2 linked regions of the Schizosaccharomyces pombe genome follow. Each later gene encodes a partner of the first gene's protein in a complex. Each region holds a gene or a part of one and is shown in the gene's direction. Other genes may lie near its edges.

Region 1 (4,719 bases):
AATGATAGAACAAAGAACAGACAGTTTATGAGTTAGAGATCTTGACAAGAGATTCTCAATAAATAAAAATTAAAAGAAAAATTAATCTAGATTATGATTTTCAAGCACAGAGAGCTTGTATTTTCAAAATCGGTATAAAGAAAGGGTAACCAAGGAAAGCACAATGCTTTTATTGAGCTTTCTTTGGATTTCGTTCTTGTTTAACCAAAAAAAGAAAGGATTTTTAGGTAAATGAAGACTAAAGTTGCTCTTGCACTTAAAAAGCAAGAATAGGTCTAGGTAAAGATTTTAACAGTCAAGAGGGCAGCTTTTATACTAAATTCGGGAAGAGAAACCCCGACAAAAGTATCAAAAGTCCTTTGCTTTCAGTGAAATTTTAGACAGGATCGCCGGAGAGTTTTTGGTTATACGTCACAATATTACAAGGGCAACAAGGTAGTTAGCAAACTCTTGTATCATTGGACGCCGACTTAAAAAAACGCAGTCACACACAAATAAGAACGAATAAGATGTGGAATAGAATTTAAACGACGTGTATGACGAGGATCAACAGCTCGTTGAAAGTCAAGAACGAGGTAAAAATGTCACGATATCATTAATTCTCCATAGCAAAAAAAAAAATTCAATCGTAAAATGATACACTGTACGTAATGAAACTGATGCATATACTGGGGAAAGACACTATTAGTGAGGTAGAAAGCCGATAACAGGATGAAAAAACGACTTTCAATAAATGTGATGTAGGAATAATTCTCAAAAGTAAAGTAAATTTAAATACTTTGGCGACCGAGGCTGCAAGTTCGGACTGCTAGCAAATACAGAGTGTATTCCAACGTCAATAATTTTAGCAAAGTAACCGAAAAAACCAAGTATATTTCTATACTCCTCATATCGTTAAATCAAGATTGAACACAAAAAAACGTTTCCTGAGGCAAAAGAAGTAAAGTGTCTGCAGTAAAATTAATTCGCAAGGCGAAAAAATAATACCAATGGTGGCCATACGTATTGGAACCAGCAAATATCAAAGTTTAAAACACAGCATACTCTCATCGCTGCATGACTATCTCAAAGCTGGCAATAGAACAATTAACGTTACGGAACCATAATCCTTCAAATTTCGATTGCTTGCATTCTCGAGCTCCACATATTCGAGTCCATAACGGAACTAACCTAAATGCGGAGTTCCTCTAGTATTAACTAGTAACATGAATAGAGCATAGCCGTGCTCTTTTTTTTTAAGAAAACGTCACGCAACGTGTATCTTATCTCTGTCCTATCCAAGTCAGGATAGCTAGGGGCCCCCAACCTGGAGACCATACATCGACCGCGACACCAACCATCCTAGCGAGACTCCCTAACAAGAAGGTAAATATGGATGGACAATGAACCTTTTCAAAAAAAAACAGAATTCTCAAGCGATATATTCGCTCTTGAACAGTTCGGTGTAAAAGGATACTTCTATCCCTTGATTACGTGTACGCCCATACTTCATTCGGACTATAGAAGAAATATGGAGCTGTAACCCGTACTGCAATTGTCTGTGTTAAGAAAATGTAAACGCTGCACACTAAATCATCACTAATTCATCGCTAACTAACGTAGTCCCTAAAAAGTTATGAACTTGGTAAACGACTTTTGAGGCCTTGGGACCTCCTTAAATACGCCCAACTCATTACTAACAAGGTTTGCTATGTCCGTGAAAAGCGCCTATTGTACATATATTGCTCCCATATATGTGAAGCTTTTGCCCAATCATTGTAAGACAGGGTCTTGCTATATTTCCCTACCCCGCTCCATTCTTCCCAAGTCTGAGAAAAACTGTGGAGAAGCCTACCAATTTTGCCTAAGGGGATTTTGATCCCGCCTCTGCAATCTATTGGACGATAATAGCTATAACTACATTTGATTGGATGAAAGACATGTGATGAATGCTGGATGGTTTTGTTGTTTTTAAATGACCACCGATAATTTTTTTAGTTAGTACGCATACATTGATGAAAGCTGAAAAATTATAATAGGGTGAATAAATGAAATTCTTTTTGTGTCTTTTACTCTAATATCGTCTGGCAATTTTCTATTTTCGTACTTCGATAGCGCCATACATGTCTTGTCACCCGTTTTTACGAGCTAGGCTTAGAAATATCTTGGAATTTTTTTTCAGACATGTTGATGATTGGCTGATACTTTTTCCAGTTCTGCCTCCTCCACAATTTGCATCCGCGTTTTCCAGAGACGTTGGGGCAATAACTTTGTCTAACATTAAATTGAAATTACAAGGGTAAGTATTTGAATCAAGACTAACCTTTATACGTTGAATGTCTTCGATATTGTAGAGAATGCCTTGAAAAAAAAATTTTATTTGTGTTAATACAATCTAATATTGTGGAATAAAAAATGGTTTGTGACTGCTCTTCTGTTCTCGGCTGTTGTATTTCTTAATAGGACGGCTCGTAAAATTCGTTATTTGCGCGTCCAGTACACCATCGATTCCCATATTATCCACAGTTTACAAATAACAATATTTATATCATTTTCTTTACTTTGGGTAAACGCTCTCTTTCAGTAACTAAATCAATTGTTGTTTATAAAATTTTTATTCTTTTGTTTGCGCGTTCAAAATTTGTCTGCACGGTAAATCATTAACGCATAAACTCGGTTCTTTTACCTAGGTATCTCGTAAATTATATAAGGATTTGTACCATATTGTAACAAAATACAAGGCAAACTGAATTATTGTACAGATTATCGTATTCACTATTCAAGCATTCGTAACTTTTTCTGCAACTGAAAACAAGATTAATGAGCAACAACATGGTCAAACATAGCGATGCGTTATCGTGTTAAAACTACGTCCATTTATTGAAGTTCTTCCTTTCGCGATCTTTAACTTGGATAAGGAGTGTTTCTCTCCATTTGATATTTGGTACATTAGAGTACTGTATTTTGAAAACAAGCGCTTTTAGAATACATCCAACGAAATATTAATGCTGGCTATAATTTACATTTTGAAATTGAATGTAAAGTCAACCATTACGAGCCATATTTACTAAAACAAGGTGGTACCTGAAAGACTACTTCTTTTGGTAATTAGCTGGAATTTAATGCCATAAGCTGGATTGTCTTCCAATTTTTAAATACTCGTGTTTTTTGATTCATCATAACATTAGTGCCGAAATTCACTGTGAATATCTTTTTATATTTAACATCCAATGGATCCTCAAACAAATTCGCATCAAGAGGTTCAACAACCATCTCCTAAAGAGACAGACTCTCAAACACCGTCAGAGACTCTCTACATACGCAACATTGAAGAAAAAATTCGTCTTACTAGTATGCCACTAATTTAAATTGTTTTAATTTAATTTAATTTCTAACAATCGTAGTGTTGAAACGAATTTTAGAACATCTCTTTGGGTCTTATGGTAAAGTCATAGATGTTCAAGCAAGAAAGACTTTGCGAATGCGCGGTCAAGCATTTGTAGTATTCGACAACTTGGAGAACGCGTCACGAGCGTTAAAGGATTTACAAGGATACCCTTTGTATGGAAAGCCCATGATGATACAGTACAGTAAATCTAAAAGCGATATTATCGTACAAAGAGAATCTCCTGAAGAAATAGAAACTAGGAAAAAAGATAGGAAAAATAGGAGAGGTATAATCTTTTTTATTCTAAAATCAAAGACCTCACTTTACTAACCTTATATTATAGAAATGCTTAAACGGACTAGCGCTCTTCAACCCGCAGCTCCCAAACCCACTCATAAAAAGCCGGTTCCTAAACGTAATGTTGGAGCTGAGCGTAAATCGACAATTAATGAAGATTTGTTGCCTCCTAATAAGGTACTTCTGTTACAAAATATCCCTCAAGAAGTAAACGCAGACGTCCTTACACAAATTTTCGAAGCGTTTTCTGGATTTCAAGAAGTACGTATGGTTCCCGGTAGAAGAGGAATTGCATTTGTTGAATACGATTCTGATAGAGAAGCAACGGTCGCAAAAAATGGGACAACAGGTATGTCCCTCAGTGGAAATCAAATAAAGGTAACATTCGCTCGGAAGGCCTCGTAGTTGATTCTGCAACTATTTTAATTCCCTCTTTCAAATTTTTGTTGCAATAATCATCCAAAAGTCACCTTTCGAAATATATAAAGCTCCTATCATTTTCATAATTGATCATTTGTGTATATAAATTATATAATGCAATTTTGCAGGCCCAAAATTATGTATATCAAGCATGTAATTATGTTAAGCTTTCAGTACCTTGAACCCGCTATATTTTCCAGACGATCCTTTCATTAATTCGATATTTCCTTTTTTCATTAGTAGCTCAAGAACTTTATGGAGGAGTACTTCGTCTAAACAATCTACCTCTTTATATTGTTCTTGAAGTTCGTAAAATGTACATATAGACCCTTCTCGTCCCATATCGGATAGCTGTAAAACAATTAGTACTTTCGACTATGCAGAAAATGGCTTACCCATTTCAAGATCATATTCCCCCATTCAGATATAGACCTCCAGTATACCCAAAACACGTCTTTAGGATTTCGCTTTTCAGTCCATTCTGCTAGGTTTTGTTTCACCATATCCTCTACTATTTCTCGAAACACCGAAAGAGGCAGCGTTCCTATTTGGTAAGAAAGAAAGTTAGCACTAAGGAGTAATACAAAGAGTTTTCTTACTATGAATTGTACTGTTATGAAGCAAAGAACTTTCTA
Region 2 (3,361 bases), on another chromosome or scaffold:
TTCCTCCTGTGTCGAACCTTCCTCTTAATCCCCCCATTCAAAGCAGCAATTCTCGTTTATCGCATGATAATAACAGTTTCGATCCTTTTGCTTACCTTGGATTGGATCCAAAAAATCCATCTGCTTCTTTTCCAAGAGTTGTTTCTCAAAACAACATGTTAACTAATAAACCTGTGTTGAATAATCACTTTCAGCAGAGTATGTATTCAAATTTACTTAAAGACCAAAATTCTGTTCAGCATTTATTTGCCGCTAGCGACATGCCTTCTCCAATGGAATTGCCCTCGCCAAGTACTGTTTATCATCAAGTTTTTTATCCTCCCACTTCGACTTCCGTTAGTTCCTATGGTTTAGGCAAAACTCCGCAACCAGCATACGGATCTTCTTCTCCCTATGTAAATGGTCATCAGACTCAACAAATTTCTTCTCTTCCTCCTTTTCAATCTCAGACTCAGTTTTTAGCTCGAAATTCCGATAACTCAGGTCAATCATATAATTCGGAAGGAGACTCAAATTCAAAAAGGTTATTAAGTATGCTCTCTCAGCAGGATACGACACCCTCATCTTCTACGTTAAGCAAAGAGGCAAATGTTCAATTAGCGAATCTTTTTTTGACGCCTAATTCATTAGAGACAAAGAAATTTTCTGACAATAGTCAAGGAGAGGAAATATCAGATAATTTGCATGGTGAAAGTTGTAATAATCCTAACGCCAATTCTGTACACTCCGCACAATTACTTCAAGCTCTCTTACATCCATCCGCAACCGAAACAAAAGAGGAAACACCGAAAAAGACATCTGATTCGTTAAGTTTACTTACACTTCTTAAATCTGGATTGCCTACTCCTGCAAACGATTTGCAAAATAAATCACAGAATAACGAACGCAAAGCTTCCAGTCAGGTAAAGGAGTTGGAGGTCAAAAACTACAGCAAAAGCACTGATTTGTTAAAGAAGACACTTCGTATTCCCAGAAATGATGAGCCACTAGAAGCCGCTAATCAGTTTGATTTACTAAAAGTATCTCCGCAACAAAAGTCTGAGGTTCCTCCTAAACGAAACGAATTATCGCAATCAAAATTGAAAAATAGAAAGAAGAAGGAGAATTCGGAAACCAACAAAAACCATGTTGATATGAGTCCTGGTTTCGTTAAGATTTTAAAACGTTCGCCTTTGGCAGATCAAAAAAAGGAAGATACCCAGGAATCCGATTTCAAAGGGTCTGATGATCATTTTCTGTCATATTTACAATCTGTCGTGTCTTCTAACTCCAATGGTCTTCATTAATTTGTTATTCTAATTGGCATTGCATTAGAAACTAATGAACGACTGTGTAATACACATATGGTATTCTCTTCTAAAGTTATTCCTTTAATGTTTATTTTTCGTTTTACATTCAAATTGTTAATGAATATCAAGACTACTGACTTTAAATGAGACTTAGATGTTAATGTTGAACACTGAGTTAATCTAGTGGCTCTTTTCATTTTTTTCTATCACTTTTTGTTGAGAATAACGGTCTACTCAATGTTCTGTTGTTGTCGTTTTAATCATGCATGAATTCAACGTTGAAATAAGGATTTCCCTAACTTTTATTAGCTGGTGAGGCTTTTCGTCCTTTAAAATTATGAGGTTTCCTTTTGATGCAGCCCATGCGTGTACTAGGTTTATTCATAGGGTAAATACATATTTGCTTCCCTTTTATGTCAAATAAATATGACTATATAATTTGCTTACATATTTTAATAATAAGCGAAAAAATTGTACTGTACGCCCCCACATAGCACTTATTATACAGGCAATATCGCTTTACTGGGATATACCCTACACAGCATTGCACCCACACACTTCTAAATAAAAAAAAACAATTCATATAGAATGGCTGAAAAATTACCGGCTCCTCTACTTGCATTGTTTGCTCCACGTCCCCCATTGAGGTATCTGCCTCCTATGGATGTGCCTCCTGAGAAACGTTCAACACCTCGCGTTTCAGGCATAGCAAAATATCTGAAATATGCGCAGTCTCACGATCAACAATATCACCCGACTGAAAGCTTGGAAGAAAAGCGTTTGCGTCTTAGAGACGAGAAACAAAAACAGCAACGAGAAAGATTACGGTCCATGATTAAGGTATGGGATCCTGATCACGATCGCCATGTCATTGGAGATCCATATAAAACTATGTTTCTTTCTCGGTTAAGCTATGATACCAAGGAAAGCGATATTGAACGAGAATTTACTCGATATGGGCCTATCGAGCGCATACGAGTTGTTCGTAATAAAGTTACAGGAAAATCAATGGGATATGCATTTGTTGTGTTTGAAAGGGAACGAGATTTAAAAGTTGCTTACAAAGCATCAGCTGGTTTGATGCTAAATGGAAGGCGGATAGTGGTCGATGTCGAAAGAGGTAGAACTGTAAAAGGATGGCTACCGCGTAAGTTAGGTGGTGGACTTGGCGGGCGACATTATACAAAAGAAAGGCCGCGACGGGAACGGGGATCCCGATTTCGTGGCGACTCTGGATTTCGTGGTGGCTATCGAGGAGGATTTCGAAAATCTTCTGGAGGAGGGTCAAGATTTGGTCGTGGTCCTACTCGCTCCTCTCACTCTTCAGACTATGGAGGAAGAGATAGTTCCCCTAAGCGTCGTCGCTACAATTGATGTTAGAAAGTCTCACTTCAATGTTAACGCTAAACATAATTTTTTGTATACTCTTGATTACTCATTCTTTCTTCGAGTTATCATGTTAAAATGGAGAAGCGCATAGAAGATTGGAGACGCCTAAATTTAAATAAGTACCATGAGTTGGCTTCTGGTCAGTCAAACTTTTCAAACACATATATGAGATATCCTTCTTCGTTCTTTTAATGAAATTTAATATTAATTTCTCTGAATGCATCATTATTAATTTTGTGAAACAAATTAATAGTTTTGAGAGGAGTATGTTGCGCTTCACTACATCAATTTAATGATGTTGCCGGTATATATTATGTTTCTTAGCTCTTAAGTTTCGCACACATAATTATTTTGACATTATAATTTCATAGTAGTTATGAAAGTACCTTTCGTAAATTTCATGATCTCCTCCTTTCCTGCAGCAGTACTTGTCGGCGCTGTAGTGGGGTTTATGATCGGACGCAAATACAGTGTAGCAGATGCATCAAGAGGTTATAGTTCCAAAAATGCCAACAAAGCATCTAACCCAGAAAAAGAAAGTCCTGTTTCTGTTAGCAATGATGAAGACAGCGAGTCCGAAACTGAACTTTTAGATATGCTGAAAGGAAACAGCAGTTTGGCTGCGCTTGCATTGGCGGAAGGACAAACTAAAATGGTATTGGTCGTTAGGACGGATTTAGGCA

The links. Proteins that work in one complex are often made in the same cells at the same time.
Region 2: usp102 (region 1) and usp101 share a complex: the UniProt entries of both Schizosaccharomyces pombe proteins name them as parts of the spliceosome.

What each region holds. Positions count from the first base shown.
Region 1 is NC_003423.3:3,422,722-3,427,440, reverse strand, and holds usp102 (U1 snRNP-associated protein Usp102), read left to right. Parts: upstream 1-2,961; 5' UTR 2,962-3,209; coding exon 3,210-3,330; exon of another isoform or gene 3,331-3,383; coding exon 3,384-3,653; exon of another isoform or gene 3,654-3,710; coding exon 3,711-4,069; 3' UTR 4,070-4,219; downstream 4,220-4,719. Other genes in the region: ESCRT II complex subunit Vps25, read right to left, coding at 4,247-4,435, 4,480-4,628, 4,684-4,719. UniProt on the Schizosaccharomyces pombe protein: Involved in nuclear mRNA splicing.
Region 2 is NC_003424.3:2,460,651-2,464,011, reverse strand, and holds usp101 (U1 snRNP-associated protein Usp101), read left to right. Parts: upstream 1-1,829; 5' UTR 1,830-1,877; coding exon 1,878-2,663; 3' UTR 2,664-2,861; downstream 2,862-3,361. Other genes in the region: mRNA-decapping complex catalytic subunit Dcp2, read left to right, coding at 1-1,286; pth2 (aminoacyl-tRNA hydrolase), read left to right, coding at 3,055-3,361. UniProt on the Schizosaccharomyces pombe protein: Involved in nuclear mRNA splicing. Essential for growth.